Coturnix japonica: one gene and its partners. The protein of the gene in region 3 binds, or shares a complex with, the protein of the main gene of each other region. Links are inferred from orthologs where the notes say so. Each region holds a gene or a part of one and is shown on either strand. Other genes may lie near its edges.

What was found.
Region 1: SGF29 (region 3) and YEATS2 share a complex: the UniProt entries of both Homo sapiens proteins name them as parts of the ADA2A-containing complex. The link is inferred for Coturnix japonica from reciprocal best matches to the Homo sapiens genes SGF29 and YEATS2.
Region 2: SGF29 (region 3) and KAT14 share a complex: the UniProt entries of both Homo sapiens proteins name them as parts of the ADA2A-containing complex. The link is inferred for Coturnix japonica from reciprocal best matches to the Homo sapiens genes SGF29 and KAT14.
Region 4: SGF29 (region 3) and TADA2A share a complex: the UniProt entries of both Homo sapiens proteins name them as parts of the ADA2A-containing complex. The link is inferred for Coturnix japonica from reciprocal best matches to the Homo sapiens genes SGF29 and TADA2A.
Region 5: SGF29 (region 3) and MBIP share a complex: the UniProt entries of both Homo sapiens proteins name them as parts of the ADA2A-containing complex. The link is inferred for Coturnix japonica from reciprocal best matches to the Homo sapiens genes SGF29 and MBIP.
Region 6: SGF29 (region 3) and KAT2A share a complex: the UniProt entries of both Homo sapiens proteins name them as parts of the ADA2A-containing complex. The link is inferred for Coturnix japonica from reciprocal best matches to the Homo sapiens genes SGF29 and KAT2A.
Region 7: SGF29 (region 3) and TADA3 share a complex: the UniProt entries of both Homo sapiens proteins name them as parts of the ADA2A-containing complex. The link is inferred for Coturnix japonica from reciprocal best matches to the Homo sapiens genes SGF29 and TADA3.

The regions. Positions count from the first base shown.
Region 1 is NC_029524.1:683,461-686,960, reverse strand, and holds part of YEATS2 (YEATS domain-containing protein 2), read left to right. Parts: intron 1-607; coding exon 608-866; intron 867-1,273; coding exon 1,274-1,435; intron 1,436-2,935; coding exon 2,936-3,051; intron 3,052-3,500. UniProt on the Homo sapiens protein: Chromatin reader component of the ATAC complex, a complex with histone acetyltransferase activity on histones H3 and H4. YEATS2 specifically recognizes and binds histone H3 crotonylated at 'Lys-27' (H3K27cr).
Region 2 is NC_029518.1:13,436,109-13,440,360, forward strand, and holds the start of KAT14 (cysteine-rich protein 2-binding protein), read right to left. Parts: upstream 2,801-4,252; 5' UTR 2,540-2,800; coding exon 2,284-2,539; intron 1,741-2,283; coding exon 1,622-1,740; intron 170-1,621; coding exon 48-169; intron 1-47. Other genes in the region: protein PET117 homolog, mitochondrial, read right to left, coding at 2,801-2,950, 3,152-3,247. UniProt on the Homo sapiens protein: Component of the ATAC complex, a complex with histone acetyltransferase activity on histones H3 and H4. May function as a scaffold for the ATAC complex to promote ATAC complex stability. Has also weak histone acetyltransferase activity toward histone H4.
Region 3 is NC_029530.1:7,882,920-7,886,957, forward strand, and holds the start of SGF29 (SAGA-associated factor 29), read right to left. Parts: upstream 2,801-4,038; 5' UTR 2,745-2,800; coding exon 2,670-2,744; intron 2,476-2,669; coding exon 2,400-2,475; intron 2,191-2,399; coding exon 2,118-2,190; intron 1,879-2,117; coding exon 1,814-1,878; intron 1,635-1,813; coding exon 1,505-1,634; intron 1,107-1,504; coding exon 960-1,106; intron 721-959; coding exon 685-720; intron 266-684; coding exon 103-265; intron 16-102; coding exon 1-15. Other genes in the region: melanotransferrin-like, read right to left, coding at 3,219-3,259, 3,918-4,038. UniProt on the Homo sapiens protein: Chromatin reader component of some histone acetyltransferase (HAT) SAGA-type complexes like the TFTC-HAT, ATAC or STAGA complexes.
Region 4 is NC_029534.1:7,318,326-7,321,099, reverse strand, and holds the end of TADA2A (transcriptional adapter 2-alpha), read right to left. Parts: intron 1,804-2,774; coding exon 1,618-1,803; 3' UTR 501-1,617; downstream 1-500. UniProt on the Homo sapiens protein: Component of the ATAC complex, a complex with histone acetyltransferase activity on histones H3 and H4. Required for the function of some acidic activation domains, which activate transcription from a distant site. Binds double-stranded DNA.
Region 5 is NC_029520.1:33,096,286-33,099,785, forward strand, and holds part of MBIP (MAP3K12-binding inhibitory protein 1), read right to left. Parts: intron 3,148-3,500; coding exon 3,082-3,147; intron 2,215-3,081; coding exon 2,062-2,214; intron 1,464-2,061; coding exon 1,366-1,463; intron 39-1,365; coding exon 1-38. UniProt on the Homo sapiens protein: Inhibits the MAP3K12 activity to induce the activation of the JNK/SAPK pathway. Component of the ATAC complex, a complex with histone acetyltransferase activity on histones H3 and H4.
Region 6 is NC_029542.1:4,442,098-4,445,204, forward strand, and holds the end of KAT2A (histone acetyltransferase KAT2A), read right to left. Parts: coding exon 3,030-3,107; intron 2,950-3,029; coding exon 2,839-2,949; intron 2,753-2,838; coding exon 2,609-2,752; intron 2,409-2,608; coding exon 2,294-2,408; intron 2,186-2,293; coding exon 2,149-2,185; intron 2,021-2,148; coding exon 1,957-2,020; intron 1,856-1,956; coding exon 1,771-1,855; intron 1,595-1,770; coding exon 1,401-1,594; 3' UTR 501-1,400; downstream 1-500. Other genes in the region: probable ATP-dependent RNA helicase DHX58, read right to left, coding at 11-178. UniProt on the Homo sapiens protein: Protein lysine acyltransferase that can act as a acetyltransferase, glutaryltransferase, succinyltransferase or malonyltransferase, depending on the context.
Region 7 is NC_029527.1:9,002,121-9,006,356, forward strand, and holds TADA3 (transcriptional adapter 3), read right to left. Parts: upstream 2,801-4,236; 5' UTR 2,691-2,800; coding exon 2,484-2,690; intron 2,376-2,483; coding exon 2,125-2,375; intron 1,998-2,124; coding exon 1,892-1,997; intron 1,704-1,891; coding exon 1,562-1,703; intron 1,442-1,561; coding exon 1,338-1,441; intron 1,255-1,337; coding exon 1,145-1,254; intron 1,061-1,144; coding exon 875-1,060; intron 808-874; coding exon 615-807; 3' UTR 196-614; downstream 1-195. Other genes in the region: ARPC4 (actin-related protein 2/3 complex subunit 4), read left to right, coding at 3,253-3,255, 3,383-3,501, 3,654-3,765, 3,839-3,934, 4,045-4,215. UniProt on the Homo sapiens protein: Functions as a component of the PCAF complex. The PCAF complex is capable of efficiently acetylating histones in a nucleosomal context. The PCAF complex could be considered as the human version of the yeast SAGA complex.

The DNA of each region.
Region 1 (3,500 bases), on a different chromosome or scaffold from region 3:
AAGATGACAGGCATCTCAGTTTCTGTTTTCTTGCCTGTTTCCATTGTGGAGATTGTGAAATTGTGTGCCGACCACAATGGGCTGTGTATGGAGGGTTGCATTTTTCATGTGTAAATACATGCTCGCATTGCCCTTTTTACTGCCTTATTTGTCTGTTGGAGCAGGTATGCAAACCCTGTGTTTGCCTGCCAATATGTCAACACACAAAATTAATGCACTCTGCAGATTCTAATTTGAGGCCATGGTTTTCCCAGGGAGTCTGTTCCCATGAATGAGTTGAAATTAAATCTCTGGATTTCCACCAAGGCAATCTTTATCCTTAGTTGGGATTAATCCATTGCTCATATATCAGAGAAAAATCAAGTTGCCCTGTGATGTGAATGTATTTAATCTTTTGTGGGTACTCTGAAATCCTGGCTGTGTTTAATAGCTTTTTGCTCTTTACTTGGGGTTGGCCTCTTGCCAGTCCAATTCTGTTTCAGAATAAAGAACCTTATATGCAAGTAGACTTATAGAAATTACCCTGAAATACCTAGAAATGAAGGCAGCGTACCAGTTAGAACTCGTGTGGTTGAGTGGCACATCATCCAGTACTTCTTTGTTGCAGGTTGTTGGTGTTCCAGTTGGTTCTGCTTTGCAGTCAACAGTGAAGCAGGCAGTGGCTATCAGCGGTGGCCAGATACTTGTGGCAAAGTCTGGTTCTTCAGTGGCAAAGGCTGTTGGTCCAAAACAGGTTGTGACTCAAGGTGTAGCCAAAGCCATCGTGAGTGGAGGTGGAGGAACAATTGTAGCTCAGCCTGTGCAGACTATAACAAAGGCGCAAGTTACTTCCACGGGTGCTCAGAAAAGTACATCACAAGGATCAGGTAGAGTAATTTTACACCTTGTTAATGGCTCACTGTGGTTCTGTAATGATTCCTTCACCTCTAAAACAATTATGTGATGGAAAAACCTAATCCAGCAGCTGGCTTGAGTTGTGCATGTTAGCTCAGACTCTGGACTGTTTGAAATGTGCTTTGTGGCCTGTAAACTTAAGCCTGCAGATTCCACCACTGTATTTCTTTGGCCTGTGACCATGCAGGGGTTTCATTTATTCTTTTTTTTCCCAGACCTATTCAAAGTGTCTGTGCATCACTGGTGGATTTTATCTGCTGTTAGAATAGCTAAACATTGAAGGTTAGATATGTGGAACTTCCAGTGCTTTCATTCTGTGCAGATTTCAATGCGTGCTGGCCTCTTCAAGGAGTAATTTTGTTTTATTCCTTCTTTCTAGTGATGGCTACACTGCAGTTACCAGCCACCAACTTGGCAAACTTGGCTAACTTACCACCGGGCACCAAACTGTACCTCACCACCAACAGCAAGAATCCTTCCGGCAAAGGAAAACTTCTTCTCATACCCCAGGGAGCCATTCTGCGAGCCACAAATAATGCTAGTTAGTCTTGCAGGGAAATCTAATGAGTTAAATAATGTAATCACTGCATAATTAATGTTTGCTGTTCTTGCTATACTGCATCCTGGTACTGTGAAAGTCAGTAACAGAAGGAAGTTTCTTTGTTCACAGAAACACAGTATGTGGAGATTTATAAGTCTGGGTTGTCAGAAGTACCTTCTGTTTTAGATGGTATTGCTTTGCATGTGGAACTCCCAGTATCTTTCTGTGCTGAAGGTAGTGCAGTTTTTCTCAGAGCTCACAGTGAAGCCTTTCTCTCTATTTTGGTATACAGGGAGAGACACCTGCATTCTTATAATGCAGAACTGTTGCTGATTTCAAAGCTATTAGTAAGTAACAGAATGAGACTCTGGGAAACTAGCTCTGAGAGGGACAAGATAACTATACCTGGAATAGGAGAAAGAAATAGATTTCAGTAAAAGGTTTGATTTCAAGCTGTTGACACCAGCAGAAATAATTTGTTTAGATGTAACAATATAATAGATAGAATAGAGTTTTGAATAAAACTTGCTTTCACAAGTTTCATGCTTGCAGGTATTGTGAAATACCTGGAGAACAGCATTGCTAAAATTGTCCTGAGGGCTGATACTTCTTTTTTTATAGTGTGCTGTTGCTATAGGAAATGTTTTGTGAGCCTTCTCTGGAACGCTTCTCTTTGAGGCTGAGGTAGATGGACTGGGTGCAAAGTATTTGCTTGCAAGTTCTGATGCTGGCAGTGGGGGAGAGATAATCAGTTTATTGTGTAAGAAGGTGAACACCAGCAGTATAGCAGCAGAGTGTCACTGAATACTTGGATACTGTTGATGATGGTATTCCGGGCTGTAGAACTTGTGATGGGAGATTAAGATTTAGATGGCAGTCCAATCTTGACAAGTAAATGCTCTCTTGAGGCTTGAGGAAGAGTAAATAGTTGTGATTTATGACAGAGCCATCAGTAGTTTTCAACCTTTGTTTCCTAGTGGGAGACTACAACATGTTTGTGTCCATTCTCTTCCTTCTGGAGGCAGAGCAGTATCAAGATGTTGATGTTATTCACCACCAGTTAGAGTCTGTGATCAAATACTCTGTGTTAACAAAACTGCATTGGAACAGCAAGCAAAAGTAAAATTAACAAGCCCGTGGGATTTGTTGTGTTTCCAGGGCTTTTGCCTGCTGACAAAACACTGTCTATCTGTTGTACAGCATTTTCTTTGATAGAAACTTTACAGCAGCCCTTAATGAGCTTTGTATGTCCAGTAGTCTTCATTCTCCCCATGTCTCTCTTTGTTCATTGCATTTGCTGAGCTTTCAGAGAGCACAGCAACACATCTGAACTGTGTTTTGCTGTGCAATTACGGCTTTTATGCCTGTGAGTACTCAGCTATATAACATGCCTCAGCAAGCATCTTGCAGGCTGTTCTCAGGTACTTGTATGTACAGGACTACTTCAGCAGCTGACATTGTCGGGTTGCAGAAGAGCCAAACCTTCTGTTCTGGTTGCAGGTCTCCAATCTGGTGGTTCTACAAATAGTGGAGGAGGAGGAGGAACCCAAAGTACAAGCAGTAACTTGTCCCAGCACCTCACCTATACATCCTACATCCTGAAGCAGACACCCCAGGTCAGTGGCACAAGCACCCTATCTGGAATGGATGGGCATTTCAGGCTGCTCTCTAGCAAGCAGTGCTGTTTTCTCTGTCAGGCACTTGCTACTGCTACGTGTGCATCTCTGCCCCTCACCTCCCCTTACAGAGTGGTACATGGTTCAGCTACTTGCAGACTGAGAAAGTAGCATGGAATGATTTTTCATGGCAAGCAGTGAGTGGTTTTCAGAGAGTAATAAAGAGCCTGTGGTGGCAGGGGAGCAGGGGTCTCCAAAATAAGAGAGATGATATGACAAAGATAATGTGGAAGACCTGTCTTAAATGGTAGGTTGTGTAGGAGTTGTAGGAAAGCTGTGAAGACAGAAGAATAAAGGAGTTATTTGAGAGAAACAGCAAGGGTGAAAAAGAAGTGACAAAATTGAAGATCACGTGAAGGGATCCATGCATGACAGTGGGTGAATGAAGG
Region 2 (4,252 bases), on a different chromosome or scaffold from region 3:
CACCAGTTTTAATTCATTCATCTCACCAGGACACAGCATATCTTTACCTGTTTCCTAATAAGAAAGTCCAGTGTTTCTCAATAAAAGCACAGATATCTTCTTTCCATCTGAAGTACCCCTGACGGCCAGTTCCTTCCAGAGACAAATTGTACATTGCCAGCATGACAACCTGGAACAGAAAGCAATGGAAACCAGTGCACCTTTTCTGCTTCTCCTGGTGAGCTGCCTTATGATGCCATGCACACACACACCTTTGCAGCCTCATAAATATCTTATTTTTGCAACACCTCTTAAGCAATTTCTGCAATCTTTCTCTTTCATGCTGTCTTTCCTCATCTCTCTTTCTCTTTCATGCTGTCTTTCCTCATCTCTCTATCGTTAAATGAAAATTCTTCTGTCTTTTCCCCCCACCAAGATTTGACCACCGTAGGAGAATAAAAGCTGCCTAATTATGCAGGTTTATGAAGAAACACAAACTTCTGCAGAGTGGGAAAAACTGATCATATCGCAACTGGGACCTGAATGCAGCGTGGAAGTCTAAATAGTCTTTTTCAAAGACAAAAAGAATTGTGATGAGCAATCCCACCACCTTATTCATCAGAAACATAGCAATCAGAGTCTTCCCAGATAGTTACCGTTGCGTACCAAACTGAACGCAGGTTAAACTATGTAGAAATCACATGTCATCTACTAATATTTCTTGGTATGCGGCAATTACGTTTGTCTCCAAATCACAGAATGGCTTGGGCTGCGAGGGACCCCAAGGATCTCCAAGTTCCAAGCACCCTGCCTGATAAAGATGTTGAAGAGCACCAGCCCCAAGACAGACCCCTGGGGGACACCACTCGTTACTGGCCTGCAAATGATGCTCTCAGAATTGACCTTCATTGAAAAAATCCATTACAGCACTTCTACATGCTTTACAGCCTAATTCAGTCCAACCAACTATTGGAAAGGTTTGGAAAGAACCACATCTCTTTGTGAGTAAATCCCAGATGACCAACTGTTAATTATGCAGAATCAATTCCATACTTCAGACAGGTTTGCTCACTTCCCTCAATTCAACGTACCCCAAAGGAGCAGCACCTGCACCCTCCTGGGAGCAACACACGCATCACTCTACCCACGCAGTGGCTGCCGTATAATGCAGAATATTTTGATCGCGCAGGCGTGTAAGTGACTGGACTTGCAGAATCCAGCAACAACTACTGTTAGTAAGCAAGCAGCCAAGTTAGAGCTTTGCATTCAGGGAACTGGCAAGCTTTCTGTTTGCGTGCTGCCACCTCGCTAGCTTTGCATTCACTCCTATATACAAAAAACTGTTCGTGCCTAGAAGCTACATTGCATTTTGCTTTTCCACATTCGCCTGAAGCCATGCAATTCATGAGCAACATGAATGAGGAGCGAAAAAGGAGAGGAATGTGGTTTGTGTGATTATCTTGCCACTTACTTGCCAAATACTCAAGCTCTAATCTGCAGGCAATTCTCAACTAATTAATTTCTGAAGTTCACTCATGTTTGTCATCTATATCCAATCCTCCTTTTCTAGGTAATGAATACATAACAAACAACAATTCTATAAAGTGCTGGCACGTTTTCCTGGCACAAACAAGGTACTTACTTGTTGCCAAGTTAATCTCAGCCGTTCAAATTGTTCTTTCCCATCTTCTGAGCAATCAGAGCAAGTAAATCTGAAAAAGTTATCTCCTTTGAGGTAGCTGAGCTGTTCTCTCAGTTGACCTAAAACCAACAGACAAAAGATCAAACTTTCAGCCCTTTCACGTGAAGGAAAGCTGCAATGTAGCATCATTTTAACAGTACTGTGCTGGCTCTACTGTATTATTAGCAATGCTCACACCATGCCTTGCAACATTTCTACACTAAACTTGTGGCGAGTTTTAGGATGGCAATAAGGGCAGCCCCGATGCAGCTGCAAAGCAGATGTCAACTGAAGAGTTCCATGATTCTAAACACAGAAATAAAAACACAACAGCAAATCGATAACAAAACAACAACAAAAAGCAGTGCTTAGCAACACTTAGGTTTTGGATCTAATAATGTGTCCATTCCAAATTCCAGCTGTCCAGAATTTCAAAAGTAAAGCCTGTTTTTTAGCTAGCACCATACATCTTATGTCAAGCAGCAACAGCAAAGGAATCAAGTTATCTAGCTTACTCCAAGCACCCCCCAGTGCCAGATGCTACAGGTTGGACACGCTTCTGCAAAAGCTCAACTAAACTCACATTATCAGAAAACAAGAAACAGCAAAGCCAGCCCTCTTACTTGCTGGAATCCACTTCTGGCACTTCTCGCAGTAGTAGGACATCTCCTCCATCCAGGACACATCACCTTCATCGCTGTTCAGTGAGTCTCCGCTCTGGTCGTGGGATAAATCCACCGAGGCCTGGTCCTCAGACTCTACAATCAGAAGGGTTTCCCCTTCCACCTCACCCTCCTCCAGACCCTCCGACGTCGAAGTCCTCGTGGCTTCATCATCGTGTCGGCTCAGCAGCCCGCTCATGTGGACGTTATTAGCCATCCTTCATGGCCTACAGCAGCACAAGGAGCCTGTCCTCCCTACATTCACACGTCCATCCACACTGGCTGTGTCAAGTCTCCACAAGTACTAGTGATGGAAGAAATATTCTGCTGTGCCCTATGGCTTCTGGTACAGGAATATAATGTGTCTGAAATAAACAGTCTTTCACAGGTGATGTCTGTTTACTGAAATACTTGAAAGTAATTAGAATTCAATTGTCCCAAGTGCCTCGAATCAAACCTCTAACAAGTCAGGTCCCACCTAGGGCTGCTGGGATCCCTTTTCCACCAGCATCTTGTCTCTTTCTTCCGTAAGCCGCTTCGTCAAAGCGATCTGCTCTTCCAGCAGGCGAATGTTTTCCCTTTTCTGACTCTGTCTCTCCAGATCTCTGAGCACACCGCTGTGCAGCCTCTGGAAGCACAAGGGACAGGGTTCATCACTGCCTGTTTGATTAATAAAGCTAGTAAACCACCTCTGTGAGGCCAGCTGAAGACCTGTTTACATTAAGCCCTTCACTCCCAAGCTGTACCTTGCATCTGACAGCGCTAATAATAAGCCAACAGACCAGAGGGCACCACACGGCTCCGGGCCTGCCCGCCCGCCCTCACTCACCTCACGCTCCCGCCGCTGCTGGACGTGCACGGCCGCGATGGTGGCGGCGGAGAGGAGCGCGGTGACAACCAGCACCGCCCGGGAGCTCCTGGACATCGCCGGGCACCACACACCGCACGGCCGGGAACCGACCGAGCCGCAACCAACGGCACAACGCGGGGAAAGGCGGGACAGGCTGTGAGGGGGAAGAGCGGCCCGCCCTGCAGAGCGCTGAGCGCGTCGAGCAGCCGCAGCCCTGAGCAGAGGAAGGACGAGAACGGCAATGGAGCCGTGTAATGGTATAGCAGTGGGAGCAGGGCGGTGTTCGAGCCCCTGTACTCAGCTCTGGTGAGGCTTTGTGGTCAGTGCTGGGCCTCTCACTACAGGAAAGATACTGAGGCCCTGGAGTGTGCCCAGAGAAGGGCAATAAAGCTGTGAGGGGTCTGAAGCACAAGGCTTACAGAGAGAACTGGGATTGTTCATTCTGGAGGAGACTCAGGGGTGATGTTATTGCTGCCTACACCTGCCTGGATGGAGGCTGTGCTGAGGTGGGGGTTGGCTTCTTATCGCAGCTAATAGCAATGGGATGAGAGGGAATGGCCTCAAGTTGCACCAGGGGAAGTTCAGGTTGGATACTCCCCTAAAACAGGTTAATCTATTTCCAAGTAGAGCGTGGAGGTGCTGCGCCATAGTCAGCTTTGGTGATGGACCTTCGCTGTGAGGAGGTGGCCAGGGCACATCCCCTGTGTAGAACAGGAAAACTGAATGCATAAAGCCAGTCCTTCCTTGTTGTAATCTTCTTCATCTGTCTGCTGAACAAACGTGATTAAAGTGAAAGGTAAAATTAGTGAAAATGATAGCATTTCAATTTAGTATAATAGTTTTGCTCACGTTTGTATGTTTACTGTTATTAAGATGTGCTTAAGTGCTTGTAGCACGGCCAAGGCTGGCAGGTGCCAAGAACAGGGTTGGGCCAGATGTAGAGTGAGTGTGAGCCAAGGCACGGCGCCTTTGGCACCATGGAAGGGCACAGCTCGCCCAGCTGGGAGCCAAGTGCCTCTGTGTGAGCCTGGCATTAATCATTTCAGGGCCCAGAACCCCACACAGGGAATGTTCAGGCTG
Region 3 (4,038 bases):
GTAGTCATCCTGCGGCTGTGTGCGGGGCAGAAAACAGCATCAGTAATGAGTGAGAGCTGGGGGCACGGCAGGGCCCATCTCCAGGGCAAAATGTGGCCGTACCCGCTGCGGGGGTGCATGGATGAGGGCACGGTAGAAGCAGGTGGTCTGTGGGTAAAGTGCCAGCACCAGCTGCTCGCGCTGGAACAGCGCTTCGGGGTCGGTCTCAGGGTTGGCCTTCCACTGTGGCAGAGGGATCACACGGCGCCGGCTGAGCGTGTGTCTCCTGCAGAAGGGAGGAGCAAGCAATGGGTACGGGCTGGGGATGGGGGAGATGAGGGGTGTGGAGAGCAGGTTTGGGGGCAGGGGTTGAGAAGGGCTTTGTGGTGTGGCGGGTATGGGGAGGGAGTTCGGGAGGAGCTAGAGGGGTCTGGGGGGGTGCGCCGAGGGGATCTGGGAAGATTTGGTGAGAGCAAGAAGAGTTCTGTGGAGAACTGGGAGCGTGGGGGACATGGGGAGGGGGGCTGTGGGGAGTTGGGGTGTTCTGTGGGGTTTGAGGAGGTTTGGAGGGAGTTAGGAAGAGTTAGGGGGTGATAAGGAGGGAGTTGGAGGGATTGGGAGGGCTTGGAGAGGAGGCTGGGGGCTGCCTGAGAGCGGGGGCAGCTGTGGGGTTAGAGAGGGCAGTTGTGGAGTGGGGGTGCTCACTCTTTGCCCTCCTCATCGATGTCGTCCACTTCATACCTGGGGTGGGGAGAAGCGAGAAAGGAGAAAGGACTGAACTACAGCAAAACAAGGGGAAATGCTGCGATCCCAGAGCACACCACGGCCCCACAAGCAACAAGTGCAGTGCTCCACACCATGCCCCACACCCCCAAAGTGCCCAAACTGCCCCCCCGGCCCCACTCAAACCCCCCCCAACACACACATATTCCTGCTCCCCTCCACACCCAACCTGCCGCCCCCTTGCCCCCTCCACGCACTTGTTGGCAGCATGGCTGTAGCTGACCACCTCCGCCAGGATCCACTGCTCATCGCCGTCCACGGCCTTGACACGTGCCGCCACTTTGTCCCCAGGCTTGGCCACGTAGTCCCCAGCTGCCGGCATGGCACCGCACAGTGGGGGGGGCCTGAGAATGAGGTGGGGGTGGGTTGGTGGGTGGGAGTTAGAGGGTGAGGCTGGGCTGGGGTTTGGGGTTCTGCAGTGCAGTCAGGGGGGTGTTGGCAATCCACAACAGGGGTCAGGGAACAGGGCCTGGGGTTTGATGGGGGGAGAGGGGAGGAAGGGTGAGGGCACGGTCAGGATGGGGTCTGGATGGGGTTGGGTTTCCCAGGGTGGGGCTGAGATTTGCTATGGATCCAAATGTCAGGCATGGGGTTAGGGCCGTGCTTTGGAATCTGAGTCCAGAACCAGAACTCCAGTGGAACTGGGAGCTCAGGGCACAATGTGGGGTATGATGGAGTGTGGGTCTGGGAGTTTAGGGCACCCTGTGGGGAAGAGTGCACTTGTGGGGTCGGGAATACCTACTTGTCACCTGGCTTGCCGATCCAGAGCGGCAGCGTCATGGCTGACTGCTGCAGCAGTGTCATCAGCACGCCACGACGCATCGTCTTGCGCGGCGGCTCCGCGTCACTGTAGATCCCTGCGATCTTGGCAGCTGTGACACAGTGGGGGGGTGGACACAGTGACACCAAGATTGGGAGGGCAGTTGTGGGGGGGGGCATACAGAGGGAGATTTGGGCGTAATTCCAGGGATTTGGGGTGTAAAAATAGAAAAAGAGAGGTCAGGGACACGTGGGGGTCAGGGACACTTGGGGGCTCAATGGAGGCACGTACCAATGCGGCGCTCTTCCAGCAGAGACTTGATCTCAGCGATCTTGTCCAGCGCCTTGCGCAGGATGCTGCAGAGCCATAAGGGCAGCTGTCATGTATGGGGGGCACGGGGCAGGGTGTAGGGTTGGTGGGGTGCAGGGTTGGTGGGGGTGTAGGGTTGGTGGGCTGTAGGGTTGGTGGGGTGTAAGGTTGGTAAGGGTGTAAGGTTGGTAAGGGTGTAGGGTTGGTAAGGGTGTAGGGTTGGTAAGGGTGTAGGGTTGGTAAGGGTGTAGGGTATGGGGATGTGGGTATGAAGGGGCCGCCCTACTTGCACTCGGCCTCAGCATCTGCCTTGGCGGTGGTGTACAGCCCGCGCAGCTTCGTGCGGTAATACGGCGAGACTGGAGGGGGGAGGTAAGAACGCTGTGAAACCAAGTCCCCATCGAACACGCTGTCCCCAAACCCCGCCCCGTTCCCGAGCCCGGCCCCAAAGCTGCCCCTGCCCAACACTCCTCTCTGAACCCCTTCCCCTCCCCATTGCCCTGCTCTCCTCCCAGCCCTGCCCCCTCATCCCCCTTCACGCCGCCCCTCGGCCCGGCCCCGCTCTCACTCTTATTCTCGGTCTGCATCCTCTCGTGCGTCTTCTGGATGTTGATGAGGTTGTGCTCGCTGCGGGACCGCTCCTCCTGCAATGCAGCGGGATGACGGGGGCTGCCCGCACCACCACCCCACCTCCAGCCCCACAGCCCAAATCCGGACCCGTGCGACAAAGCGCCGCCCCGAACCAGCACCCTACAGCCCCGCACCGCCCCCAGAGCGGCCCGATGGTGTCGGTGCGGCAGAGCAGCGCCCCGCTCGCTCTGTGCGTCCAGCCCCGCACCTGCGTGTGCCCCAGCAGCCGCTGCAGCTCGGACAGCAGCTCCGCGATCCGCGAGTCGGCCGACACCAGCGCCATGGCCGCACCGACGGGCCGCGGGGCGCTCTGCGCATGCGTCAGGCGACACAGAGCACTGTGCGTCAGCCCGCACATCGCACTGCGCATGCGTCCCGGTGCAGTTCCGCGCTTTGGCCACACGGAGGCAGCACCGACGTAAGAAACGAGTTCGGCGCTGAACGGAGCCGGTCACGGCAGCGCTGCGCCCCAATGAAGGGATGGGTCAGATCGACCCCAATGAAGGGATGGTACAGATCGACCCCAATGAAGGGATGGTACAGATCGACCCCTGCTGCAAACGGGAACGGCACGACACGGGAGCAGTATTACATGACCATAAACAACATCTACTTGCTGCAGAAAACAAAGGTTATGATAAAAGATAATCAGCATACATGGCCGGGGGTGACGGTTTCCTTGCAGACAGGCAGGACTAGACTGATTTCCTTGTTCTCACATTGGTGGCGGCTCTTGCCTTGCAAAGCAGCTGTCAGATCAATGAGCACAGGTGTCCTGTCTGCAGAAGTCCAAGATGCCTGCAAACCAATAGGAGAACATGGCCTTAAAGATGTGATCGGCCCTGAAAGTTGCTGCTGTTCACTACAACACAACAGTGCTGGTATTCCCTTGTTGACTTTCAGTCCTCTAACAGCTATTAAACTTCCTAATCCATTGTGCAAGCTGCAGCTACTTCAGCACAGATCCCCAGGGCCCCTAACAAGCTCAGCCCTGACTGATAAGCAGTTTCATTTAGTTTTAGTCAGAACTAAATACAAAATAGCTTTCAGTATATAGTAGTGAACAAACTCTCATTTAAGTACAATGAGATCTTTAACTCTGGTGTAGTTTTTAGTGCAGTCTTCTATCAGAAACAGAGTTATTTCCCCTAACCCTGACATACCCAGACCTCTGGGATAGGAAGAACAAGTTTCTGAGTGGAAGACAATTCCACTTCAATAACTTTATATTTGCTCTGACCTGCATTGGTTGTATCATCCCCACAGACCCCCATTTGCAGTGCTTACAGATAGGAGCTGCAAGAGTTCTCAACACTCCAGATATTACACTCCACTAACAAGGTTATGTAGAAATTACCTCTGAAGTTGGCATAAACCAGAGGGCCGTGCCTGTGCACACAAAACTTCCCTCTGCTTTGCATTTTTCTCTAATTCAGAATGAAGAATTTGACTTTACCTGCAGGTGTACAATTAAACACTGACTCTGCCAGCTGAAAGAAAGGTTCTCCAAGGATTTCCCGATAGCTCATGTGAGTTGCAGGAACAAGGGACTGAGTAGCATCTTTGAAAAGCAGATC
Region 4 (2,774 bases), on a different chromosome or scaffold from region 3:
CTCCTGCTGTTGTTTGCTCAGGTCCCAGCTGGTGTTATTAGCATTGGACCCAAAAATCTGCCATCGCGGTGTGACTGCTGCTCACCTGACCTCAGGCTGCGGTGTGGGCTGTGCCATGGTGCTGTGTGTGCCCCGTGTGGGCAGAGGTTTGTTAACCCTTCATCCTGCAGTACGGGAGTGTTGTGCTGGAGCCTGGAAATGAGAGCAGGAACGAGGAGGTGCTGAGCGTGGTGCAGGCTGGCAGCCTGCTCCCTTCCCTGCTTGCGAGGTGCCCTGCAAGAGGAGAAAAACCTGTTGTTTTTCTGCTTTGATGCTGTGAGGGAAACTTCCCTGCCCCGTTTCCCGTTGCCTCACCTCTCCTACTTTCCCTGGAAATGAACGCTGCTTTCTGGCTCCCTGTTATCCAGAGGGATGCAGCTCCTCCCCTCTTATGGCAGCACAGAGCTGGATGGAGCAGAGGCAGCTCTGTCTTGGAGCCCAGGAATACCCAGTGAAGATCATTTCAGATCCAATTGATTTTATTACAGACCAAAATACCACACATTCAGTGGCACCTCAGTACCCAGGATAATTACATTTCTGGGGGGGGGGGGAAGCAAAAATCTGAAGCCAAACATGTTAAATATACATGAACATAGTTACAGCTTGGGCTTTGCAGCGTGAGAACCCAGACCTGAGGACACACAGAGTGAAGCAGAGATAGCGGGGCCTCCCATCCAGGAGGGCTGAGAGCACGTGGCCTGGTGTGTGCAGTGCTGCACTGCTCTCCTCTCTTTGGTGGGAGGGAATGATGGGGAATGGAGTGGCTGCTTGTTGATGTTCTGGAAGGCAGCTGGGGCTGTAACACACAGCCTTTCATCACGAAAGGTGGCATGGCCTTCCTACGGAGCCACAGCAGCCAATTCAGACTTCAGCTAAAGGATTCTACATAATGTGACCATGGCAAATGAAGTGGCAGCAGATGAGGCTCACTGGTTCGTACAGCACTCTCATGCTGTGATATGTGCCAATATCACATAAAAGTAACAACTGTGGAGGAGCTTCCCCACGATGTCCTTTTGCATCCTTTATCATAATTTACTTAAAAGGACTGGACTATTGCGAGCTCCTTCTTTGCACCCTCGGGCATGTGCTGTCTCCTTTGAAAGCTGGCACTGTTTTAGGAAGGCGTACGAGGAGGGAGGGCACTGCATTTCTGTACCTGCGCTCAGGCTGAGTCAGTGTGACTCTCATGTGCTGCCCTCCTGTCCTTGTTCTCTGCACTGCCAGAATAAAAGTGCTGCGATTCTTTTACACACGAGATGTGGGAAAGGAACAGCCATTCATCTTACAGGTTGGCTTCGATGACACAGGATTCTTTGCAGTGCTACGTGGTGTGATTCAGACAACAGCACAATTAAGCAGCATAGTCAAAAAGAGACCAGACAAAGAAATGTCGGCGTTCGTACCATCTGACAAAGCCTCCTGCTTGTTTGTACCAAAAAAAAAGAGGCCCAAAAGATCTGAAACAATAGAAAATGTCCTTCATTGAACACTGTTAAAATCTCCCAGTGCTGTCAAAATGTCTTCAGAGCTTTTCCATGCCCGTGTGCTCGAAGCAGAGCGCCGTGTCACTCCTCAGGCCTTTGTGATGTACCCTTCCCTGATAAGGAAGTCATAGATTTTCCTTGTTTTGTTCACATCGATCTTGATGAGCGCTCTCGCCTGCGCAAGTCGCAGCCCTCCTTGTTTGTTGCACTCGTTCACTAAGGCAGCTTTGTATTCTAAATAGGCTCCGGGGACCAACCTCACCATCTGACAGAGCTGGAAGACAAAGGGGAAGTTAATAAGCGCTACCACTTGTCCTGCTCTCTCGTTCAGTGATCACTGCTGGGGAACTAACGTTGTGGATGCCTTCCTGAGAACAGCTGTGCTGTGTTTTGTGGTGGGGGGGCAGGCAGCGACGGCAGTGCGGGCCTGGAGCCGCAGGTGGGCAGGGAGGAGCCCATGGCTGCTATATTTGAAAACATTAAAACTGAGAAACAAAGCAGGGGATGAAGGCGAGCTGCGGGCTCACAGGAGCGTGGCTCTGAACGTGTCCATGTGGGCGTTGTTCTCTACCAACCCAGGGATGTTCACATGCCAAAGAGACGCGCAAGCAGCAATTCAGCCGTGGCGGGCATCCGCCTGTTAATCCCCAGCACACAAAGTCCTTAATGCCATTCTACAAAAGCAGCTACGCACACATTCACCCCTCCTGGAAATCTAGGGTGGAAACCGTGCAGGGAAGCTGTGTGCTGGGTTTGGATGCTGGGCAGTGCTGGGCAGTGCCGTGGAGCTGCTGCCAGCAGCGCCTGCAGTGCTCCCATCCACTGCCAACAGCAGCTGCTCCACAGCACTGCATCCAGAGGACACGTGGGCTGTCTCCTCCTTTTAATTAGGAAATGCTTAACGATTGTTTGGTAAGAAATGGCAGAATTCAGAAGAACTTCGTTCCCACTGAGAAGGAAACAGGTGCCCATACACACAACAGTGCAGAATGCAGCCGTGGTGGCACGTTCTGCAGTGAACCTCTGAGCTGGCTTTCAGTGTTGCCATCCCCAGAGTTCAGGAAGCCATCTCCAGTCAAAAAAGTCTGAAATAGATCCACGTTTCACTGACACCAGAGTGTGCCCTGTGCACCAGCACAGCTGGCTGAGGGCTGAGGTTTGGCTCTGAGCTGCACAGTGTTAGAGGAACCGCACTGCTCAGGTTCAGCGAGGTGTCCAGGCAGCCCACAATGAAATCCTCTGCCA
Region 5 (3,500 bases), on a different chromosome or scaffold from region 3:
TGAGGTGGTTGAACTTTTCTCCTCTTGCCAGAACAGCTCTAAAGAAAAGACAATCAAAACAGACTTAACATTACACTGACTGGGGATGTTACTGCAGGCAATTCTGAAATCTGCAGTCTGTAACAATGTTGACAAGTGTCTTAAAAGTACAGAAAGAACACTAGCTGCCATTTCAAAGATTATAGAAATCTTTTTATATTAAGTGTACTTTAGATCATGAAAAATATCATTGGAGAGCAGTTAGAAGCTGTCAAAGCTTCTCTGTACTTGGCAGCTAACACGTTCACCAGCAATTTAACTGGAGCTTCCTTCAGTAAAAACAAAGATCAATATCCTGCTCTTGAAATTCTCAATATTTTTGTTTAAGATTTTCCTGTATCCACACAAATATTTATGCAAATCTCTGAGAGGGAAAAAAAAAAGGCAATTAGTCCACAATACTAATCTTGCCACCATCACTTTCTTTCCTCCCATATCCACATAGACATAGATCCTAAAGTACTTTCAAAAGAAATTACAGCATATGAAAGTCCATGTTTTTAAATTCCAACTCCCTACAACTTGAAGGAATGGCCTCAAAGAACAAGAACTTTATTGGCCTCCAGCATAGAGAAAAAACAAAACAAAGAATTGTATTATGGAGGTCGATCTTTAAATCTTGTTTCCTCTTTGGTGGGTTGCCAGAGAAAAGATACTGTTGATCATATTGTAATTTGTAAGAAATATTTTGACTAATTATTGCATAGGGAAAGAAGGCAGAACAAAATATTAGGTGAGAAATTTCTGCAGTTTTTACTGTAGTATAAACCAGTGTTCTTATTGCCCAAATCTCCACAGGTAAATAAAGGATCCAGTCTATTATTTATAAAGAGACAGAATTTTGCCTGTAGACCAGCAGTAAACAAACCAAAGTCATTTAATTACCTGAAACAGACAACTTCTGAATGGTTGCTCTGACCCTCAGAAATCATACCATGTACAGAAAACCAAAGAACTGCAGCTGATTTCTAAGCCGTTAATGACTTGTATGAAGATCAAATCTGCAGTTAATTTCCATGTCATTATATACACTTCATATTTTAGGGATTAAAAAAAAAAAAAAAAGTGTGCTGTTTATAAGAAATCTCTCAAGAATTAGTTAAGCTCAGGTATCTGCATTGTTTTTTCCCCCCCAGCAAGTACTATTTTCTTTCAAATGACAAGTTAGGTAGAACTATGAACTTGCATAGATGGCCCATACATGAAATGTAACTGTTACACCAAGCCAGAGTTGTCTATCAATAGCAGCTACACTGTAACCTATTCCATCTTTATACATCAAACAACAATTACTTAAGTATCCATTAGTTGAGAAAAAATTCTTACTACGGATTGAAAGTATTCAGGAGACAGTCCTTCCAGCTCAAGAATTTTATCTTCAAGCTTCTTAATTCTCTGATAAATGTCTCTTGGTACAGGACCACCTAAGTGCAGCAGTACAGAGAAAAATCAGGAAAATCACTTAAATAACACTTTAAACTAAAAGATGGCAAGTTTTTCATTCTTTGAGTCCAGCTAGCAACCAGCGCCTGACAGTGAACAAACTGGTGGGAAAATGAAAGGGAAGGGCAATTAATATAAATCACAGTAAAATCTGGTTGATAAGCCACTACGATCTGCCAAGGCAATAGACAACTTCAAAGTTGAGTATATGACTGAAAAAGGCCCTGGAGCAAAAAAAAAAGTCACTCTTAAAACACAGACACCCATGCAAAGTACCTAATGTATGCTAGGTAGGATTCTACAACATCACAACCACTGGGTATTCCAACCAGAATGACTGCCTTGTCCTGACCAGGATGTGTATTTATCAACTCCACATCCTAATCTGGGAATAAATCTGTATTTCATTTCGGGCATATGGTCCAAAATATTAAGACTACAGTACTTGGGTGATAAAACTCTTTAATGCATCTAGCCTACTGTTTTTACTGTCACAGAACTTACTGGCTTGCCCAATTTTACTACAGGAATGTAGCACAAATTGACACATCTATGTCAAAACTTAAGTGTGGTACGAACCTGTTTGTAATCGTAAGTGCGCCTCAATGTTCTGCAGTCTCTCCTCAACAGCTTGGTTTCCACAATCATGAACAGGTACACTGGCTTTATGATTGGACCCATGTGTTCCTTCAGATCTAGTCTGTGGCCCATATGTATTTACTACCCTAGAAACTAAGTAAAGAGAACATAAATTTAACACACATGCACATGAAACATATCAATATATGTATAATTAAAACAAAATGTCATTAAATAATTAGTATTACTAAAACCTGAAAAGCTGTGTGTTAAATCTATTTCACTGATCTTGTATTTGAAGGGTCTCACAAACACCGAGATCAAAAGTTCAGTGTAAAAGTCCTTATTTTTAAATACATCAAACTAAATAAAAAACAAGGACTCTACATTTGCAAAGAAAGAGGAAAAAAAACACCACATTCATGTCATCAGCTGCAGATAAACAGCAGTTATAATCACAGAGAATCCTGTGAGCAAGCAACCTTTCAGGCATGCTATCTGCTGTACAGTAACTTCTTCATCAGTCACACCTTTGCAAAAAATAGTGCAGTGGTAACTTTGTTCATCAGATTCCTAAGTCTGTCTTGGAACTTCCAGTGTGCCCCTGGATTATTTTCCTAATTCAACATAACTACATTGAGATTAATTTAAAATAGAAGATAATTTTATTTAATTGATTTCTTAGCTGGACTGACGGCCTTACCTTAGCAGAAAAGCTAAGAAATGCTCAGCTTCTCTGACCTGCTTTATGTTTTTCATCTTTGCTTTCAGGCAATGACAACAGGCTACTCATCAAAGGATTTGGTATTCAGTGCATAACCAATAGCCTACTGACGAAATTATGGGATAAAAAAAGACTTGAAGAGGTAAGGGAAGACTTAAAGTATTTGTTAGAGTCATAAATCAATTTGTTAAGTATCCACTTATAAGAATGCTGGAAAAAAAAAATCTAAGCCAAAATTTATCAGTACTGCTCTAACTTAACATTCTTAATAAATGGATATGAAAAGAGTTGCTTACCCTTTATATGGCTTTTAAATCCAGGATAGGGTGTGAAAATAGCATCTGTTCTGGCACAGCTATTTTCTAAATAAATAGTAATAATAATAAGAAAAAAAAATAATAATAATAAAAAAAGAAGAGTGAGGCCCCTAATTATGTATTTACAATTTAAAATATTCTAACCATCATCAGTTTCAAAACCAATCTAATCTAATTAGAATTTTTCATACAACAAAAGCATCAGAAATCATTCACACTATAAAAACATGCTCGTACATAATTTTACTCACTTGCATGTACCTATCAGTTTTACCTGGCTAAGTCACCTCCACAAATATGGACACACATATACATGAGGGTACTGGATCAGGATCAAATTTCTTCTATTTCTTTTTTAATTTTTAGATTTCATTGTGTTGTTCTGTCATTTCTTTCTT
Region 6 (3,107 bases), on a different chromosome or scaffold from region 3:
CCCCGGGCACCTTGTTGACCAGCACGGCCACCCGGCCGCCCCGCCGCCCCTCCAGGTGCCGCCTGCAGACGTGCACGGCCGCGCGTGTTTTGCCGGCGCCCGTGGGCAGCCACACGATGCTGTTGCGGCCGCGCAGGGCCGGGGCCACCGCCTCGATCTGGTACCCGCGGAGCTCCATCGCCGCGTCCCGGCTGGGAAACGGAGCACAGGAGGGAGGGAGGGATGGATGGAGAGGAAAGCGGGGCCGCCCGCAGTGCCGAGCTGCGCTGGAAAAGCCCCGTCAGAGCCGCACCGAACCGCAACCCCCGGGCCACCCCCCGCCGGGAGCCTCGGACCTGAATTGAAACCGAAAGCGGGCGGAGATCCGCGGCGTCATCGCGCTCCGAGGGCGGACACGCGCCCCATATCGGACCCGTGCACCCCAACCACCGCCCGTCCTCTGACCCACTGCCCCCAACCCCCAAGGTCCCGCTGCAGGGTCAGGCGCAGGGACAGCCGGCTCTGCACAAGTACATTTAATTAAAAAATAAAAAAAATAAAGAAAACTAATCCAAACAAAACAGTCACATGGAATGGGCGGACGCGAACAGTGGGACGGTCTGCTCCCACCCCAGCAAGGCCGGTGAGCCTGCAGAGCAGCACCAGAGTTCACACAGCAAGGACAGCACAGGGGGTAAGGCAGCAGGCGATCAAATGCGGGACAGGGGAGGGGGACACATTAATGCTACGTGGGACGCACCCCAGCACAGCTCCCAGGGAGGTACAGGGACACACGGGCACAAGGAGGGATGCACACAACAGCCAGCCCCAACCCCGGGGCTGCAAGACAGCAAGGGAAAGGGGGGTTAGGCCCCCACCCACAGCAAGGAGTTGGAAGAGCCCCCACCACTCCTTGCAGGGCTACAAGCAGTGGGGGGAGAGCAGGCGGCTGTGCTCCTGCAGGAGGGAAGAGCTGACAGAGGCAGCAGGAAGAGGGGAACCCCCCAACTCAGCACCTCTGCCCTGCAGCCTGGGGGGGCAGGGAGGTGCCCCACAGTACATTCAAGAAGAGGGGCAGGCGCTGCCTGTGCATGGATGGGAGCAGGGGCTGAGGTCCGTGCAGAACACCAAAGCACTTGTGTGCCCCTGCCCTGGCACCGAGCGGGGGCAGAAGGCACAACCCTGGGGGGAGAGGCAGCCCTGCTCCAGTCCCCACTTCCACAACCCCCAAGAGAGGGACTGGCAGCACCGCAGCTGCCCAGCCCCCACCCCCCCAGCAGCAGCAAACCCAGCAGCAGCCCCTGCCCACAGAACAGGGCCACATCCCTGGATGGCCCCTCCGGGAACAGCAGCAGCCCTGCCCCTCCCTGCCAGCGGGAGCAGGGGGGGTCGTGGCAGCCATGGCACATCCAGACCACCCCCTACTTGTCAATGAGCCCCCCTTCCTTCAGCTTGAAGTAGAAGAACTTCTCCAGGGTGTTGGCACACTTGCAGTAGTCGCTGTCGGGCGGGTTGTACTCGCGGCAGTTGGTGATGATGCGCTGCAGGTCGGCGATGAACAGCTTCTTGGTGACGTAGTAGCGGTTCTTCAGGCGCTCAGTCATGGTCTTCAGGTCTGGGGGTGGGAAGGAGTTGGGTCCCATCACACAACTGTGCCCCCTCCCACCACCAGCCACAGCCAGGGGGGACCCTGATGGGTCCCGTTCTGCTGCCTGGCTGCCCCCTGGGACACCCTCTGCCCAGCACTGCAGCAGGGCACGCTGCAACCCCCATCAACCCCCAGGTACCCACCAATAGGGAAGCGGATGATTTCGTAGTAGTCCGGTGCCTCTGACTTCTTCACTGGCTCCATGAAGGGCCACGCACTGGGATGGGTCTGTGGGAGAGGAGCAGATTTACTGCATCATCCCCTGCCCTGTGCCTCCCCTCCCAGGGACAGCATGGGGGATGGCACAGGAGCGTACGCCCGCCCTGCACCTTGATCTGGGCCAGGAGGTTCTTCAGGGTGTTGTAGAGCTGGTCCGGGTCCTTCAGCTCCTTCCTGCAGGGCAGAGCAGAGCCCATCAGCACGAGGATCGAGCACCCCAATACAAGGCTACCTCTGCAGGGCCAGGCGTGGCACAGAGCAGGAGCCCACAGCTCCAGTGCACCCTGGGACCCTTCACTCACCCCTTCTCCTTCCCCAGTGGTTTCCAACCCGTTTCTCCTGGAAGGAAATGGTCAGCATCACCAGAGGGCTCTGCCCCCACACATGTAGGGCACTGCACCTCACCGAGGGGTCACCCCCAACCCCCAGGCAGCACAGAGAGCTCACGGATGCCGGGGACACTCTCAATGGGGATCTGCCGCACGCCCTCCTTGAAGCAGGTCAGGCCAGGGTAGACCTTGCGGATCTGTGCTTGCTTCCTCTCAATCAGCTTCTTGATGATCTGCAATGAGAGAGTGGCACATCAGCATGCACTGCAGGACATGAGGCCCTGACAGACCCGGAGCAACAGCCAGGAGCAGCCCTCCCCACCCTCAGATGGCATTGCAGTGATCCTGTGTGCATGGCTGCACGGCTGAGTGAGGGATGGTTCCCAAAGGCTGGCACTCCCCATCCCCTCCCTTCTAGGGGGGTCAGAGGTACCTCCTTCTGCTTCTTGATGATGTGGGAGAGCTCGGTATAGGGGATGCGGGGGTTCAGCTCGCACTCCATCAAGGTTGCCCCCTCATAGTCCTTGATGTAGCCCAGGTAGCGGCTTTTGGGGACCTTGATGTCCTTGGAGAAGCCCTGGGAGGGGATGAGAGGTGGGAGGGAGCTCAGGGACAGAGGGTCGGGTTGGGCTGGTGGGGGGAGCAGCAGGGAAAGGAACCCACCTGCTTCTTGAAGTAGCCAATAGCATATTCATCTGCGTACGTGAGAAAGTTGAGAATGTTGTGTTTGATGTGGTACTCCTTCAAATGGTTCATCAGGTGTGTCCCGTAGCCCTGGGGGGGCTGCCATGAGACAGGGCCCTCACACCCCCAAGGCAGCTTGTAAGGACCCCCCAGGGGGGTCACGGCCTCACCTTCACTTGCTCGTTGGATGTCACGGCGCAGAAAACGATCTCGGTGAAGCCCTGGGAGGGGAACATGCGGAAGCAGAT
Region 7 (4,236 bases), on a different chromosome or scaffold from region 3:
CTCCTGGCGCGGCGCCGCCGGGCAGCAATGACGTCACGGCGGGGGGGCGGGACCTGCCCCCCGCTCAGCCAATGGGGGCAGCGGGCGGTCAGTGCCCACGCGTGACCGCGGGCCGCGGAGGGGCAGAGAATGACGGGGACAGAGCGAGGGGCGGGAATGGAGACATGGGACGGTACCGACACCAGCACAACCCCGCAGCCCCCAGCACCGCACGGCACACCGGCAGTGCCAATGCTCCTTTATTGCCCTCACCGCACAACACACGGTACAGCCCCGTCCCGCTCCCCGCCGCTGTCCCCGGCTGTTCCCGGCGCTAACGAGGCCCGGCCCGGCTCCCAGCCGTGTCCTGGCACAGCTCCATTGCCCAGAATAACCGCGGCAGCGGAAACCAGAGGGCGGCTATGGCTGCTCCAGGGATGCTCTCGCCCAGTCCCTGCGGTTCGGTGGCTGCGGGTTGGGCCAGGAGCAGGACCCAGCCCCGTGCACCCCGTCCCGACCCGCAGCGATCCAGGCAGAGCACAGGTACAGCCGGGAAGCTCCTGTGCTCACAGCGCCTCCAGTCCGTGAAATAAAGGGATGATGGCAGCGTTGTGCAGCCCAGTCCTGTCCCCCCGCTACCCATCCAGCAGCTTGAGGATGCTCTCACGCTCCTTCAGCGTCTTCCACGCCTGGTCCTTCTCCTTCTTGGTGGGGGTGCGCTTCTTCTGCCTGGCCGCCATGATCTTACGGAAGGCGTCCATCACCTCGTTGTCGGCCATGCGGACGCGCTGCCGCAGCTCCTGCCGGTGCAGCTCCTCCTTGGCCAACCTGGGGACACAGAACATCAGTGGATGCTGCTGGTGCTCAGCCGGCCCCATGCCCTGCCCGCACTCACCGCAGCAGCTCGTGCTTCTTGGCGCGGTTGTGGGCGCTGAGCGCCTTCAGCTCCGCCTGCCTCTTGCGCAGCTCAGCCAGGACCTCATCCTCCGAGTCCTCGGCGGGACGGTCCTCAGACTCCAGCAGGCCCTGAGCCACCAGCTCCTCCTTGATCCGCCCCTCCAGCGACTTGGTGTGGGGCACGCTGTGAAGAGTAAAGCGGATGCTTCCTAAGCGTTCTGCCCCGATTTGCACAGGGAAAGCAGCAGGCAGCACTGCAGCAGCTCACCTGAAGGGCTTGTTCTGGCTGCGTGGAGAAGTGCCAGCGCCATCGGCTCCTGAGTCCTTGCCAGCGATGTCGGGGATGGGCGAGTCTTCCACAGGGGAGATGATGTTTTCCTGGCAAGCAGAGCACATGGGAAAGGTTCACCTCGCCCTGGCAGCACCTCGCAGGGCCACTGCACAGACCTGAGCTCCCTCACCTCCACCAGGGCCTGCAGGAGACGCTGTGTCAGGGGTCCAAAGGGACATCCATCCTCAGGCTGCTCGTGCTGGGCCTCTGACTTCTTCAGCAAGGCGTCGACATCTGAGGGGATGCAGGAGACAGTTGTGAGCAGCCCCGGTTCTGTGGGAGCTGGATGCCAGCCCCCTGGTCTCACCACACAGCTTCAGTGCAGTCCATCACAGATAGGGGATGGGACAGCACCTTTGGTGTCCAGCTCGGTCAGTGGTCCCAGAACACCCTTCTTTTTGTCAGCCGCAGCCGCTGCCCGGGCTCCATCCTTCTGCTCCTCCAGCAGGTCCTCCTGAGCCCAGCGCTGTGAGTAGTGCTTCCCCAGCGGTGGGATCTGCAGCACAGGATGGGCCATCAGCACAGGGCTGGGGTTGTGCTGAGGAGCCCGTGGGTCAGCACCACCCCAGAGGACACGCACAATGTTCACAGTGGGGTGTGAGTTCTTAGCCTGCCCAGGGATGGACAGTGCAGGGCAGAGTATGGGGTGAGAGAGCATGGGCTGGGGGCTCTGCAGCTTGTCACCTTGTAGTGCTCAGCCTCGTCCTCTGGCGGTTTGAGCAGCTCCTCCAGGACCCTGACCTCCTCATTGGTGAGATCGGCGCAGTACGGCTCCACTGATGCCCAGAACCTGCGAGGCCAGAGCAGAGGAATGATGGTGATGGGGAGCTGTGATGGACACTTTGAGAGCAGCTCGTGATCTCCTGCACTACAAGGAAGGAAACATCCAACCCCAACACCCCCATCTCCCCATTCACCTGTTCGGAGCATCGTTTTTAGGGATCCTCGGCACATCGATGGGGTCATCCTGGAACTCGTACTCCTGGATCTTGGGCTGCAGGTTTTTAGACTTAGGCCTGCCGGGCCCAGGCCCCGTCCCGTGCCCCCCTTTACCCTCCAGCTTCTGCTTCTTGGGCTTGCCGTGTTTGACGGAGGTGCCCACGTCGTGTTCCTTGCTCAGCTTCAGGAAGCGCCGGTCGCCCTTTTTGTCCTGCCAGTCCGTCAGGATCTGGAATAGAGGAATAACGTGTAGGGTCGTGTGTGGGGCGGTGATGGGGTGGGGGGTCACAACACGGACACGTTACACGTTACACGTTCCATGTTCCACATCCCACACCTGTGTCTCTGCCTCCAGTACCCGCAGTCTGCGGCTGGCTGAGGACAGCAGCGTCTCCAGCTCGAGCTGCAGCGTGTCCAGCTCCTCGATCCCGATACCATCGTCCTCGGACCGGGCCAGCACGGCCGTGTACCGCGGGCACACCTTCACGTGGTCCACAGACTTGAAGTCGTGGAACTGCAGCGGGCAGTCCTTCAGCTCGCTCATGGCGGCACCGGGTCGGAACCGGGCGGCGATAGAAGCCTGTTGTCCGGTCTCTCGGTGCCGCCCGGAGCTCGGCGGGTCCCGGCGGGGGGCGGGCAGGGGGCAGGGCCGGGGGGGGCCGGGTTTACATTGGGCCGCTCGGCTACTTCCGGCCCCCGCCGCTTCGCCCCGCCCCTCTCTCCCCATTGGCTCGGCCCCGCCCGGTGCACGCAGCCGATTGGTTCGCTCGTCTCTCCTTCTTCCTTTCCTAATATGGAAGCGCCGTACGGAGCGTACCAAGAGCGGCGGGATCGCGGGGGGGGTCGAATCTCGCGGGGTTTCGCCGCCGCCTCCAGGCGCTGCAGCCGCGCCCCGTGACCGGCCGGATATACACACAGATACACATATATACACATATATACATATACACGGTGTGGGGGGACGGGACGGAACGGGGAACGGAACGGGAACGGAGAGAGAACAGAGCGCCCCCACACAGCTGCGGGTTGGGCCCTCCCGAGCATCCAGGAAGAGACAGCCGGCCACTTCCGGTTCCGCTTCCACGGACCGGACCGGAGCCGACACCATGGTGGGAGCGGGAGGGAACGGGGCGGGAGAACGGGGCGGGGGATGGGGGTGGATGTGGGTACGGGGATAGGGGGGGACGGGGCTGGGGTGGGCCCGGTCCCGGTCCGTGACTGTGCCGTGCCCCTCAGACCGCCACGCTCCGCCCGTACCTGAACGCGGTGCGCGCCACGCTGCAGGCCGCGCTGTGCCTCGAGAACTTCTCGTCGCAGGTGGTGGAACGGCACAACAAGCCCGAGGTGGAGGTCAGGTACGGGGCTGTAATGTGTGTCAATGGGGATGGACACGGACACTGCCCGCACTGTGTGTCAATGGGGATAGACACACGGACACACGGACACTGCCCGCACTGTGCCTGCAGGCACCGAGCGGTTCCATGCTGACCTTCCTTTGCTCCCCCAGGAGCAGCAAGGAGCTGCTGCTGCAGCCCGTGATCATCAGCAGGAACGAGAAGGAGAAGGTGCTGATCGAGGGCTCCATCAACTCCGTGCGCGTCAGCATCGCTGTCAAACAGGTGGGGATGGGCTGGATGGGGGCTGGGAGCTTGTGAGAGTGTGAGGAACCTCGTTTCCCTTTTGTGTCTGCAGGCCGATGAGATCGAGAAGATCCTGTGCCATAAGTTCATGCGCTTCATGATGATGAGGGCTGAGAACTTCTTCATCCTACGCAGGAAGCCCGTAGAGGTGAGGGAGTCCCAGGGACCCACAGCGCAGATCTGGACTGCACCATCACTGTGCTGCACTCCCACTGTGCTGCACACCCATAGCTCTTACACTGCTCCTCTCTTCCTCAGGGCTACGACATCAGCTTCCTCATCACCAACTTCCACACGGAGCAGATGTACAAGCACAAGCTCGTGGATTTCGTGATCCATTTCATGGAGGAGATCGACAAGGAGATCAGCGAGATGAAGCTGTCTGTCAATGCCAGGGCCCGCATTGTGGCAGAGGAATTCCTCAAGAACGTAAGGCTCCGGGGATGCTCC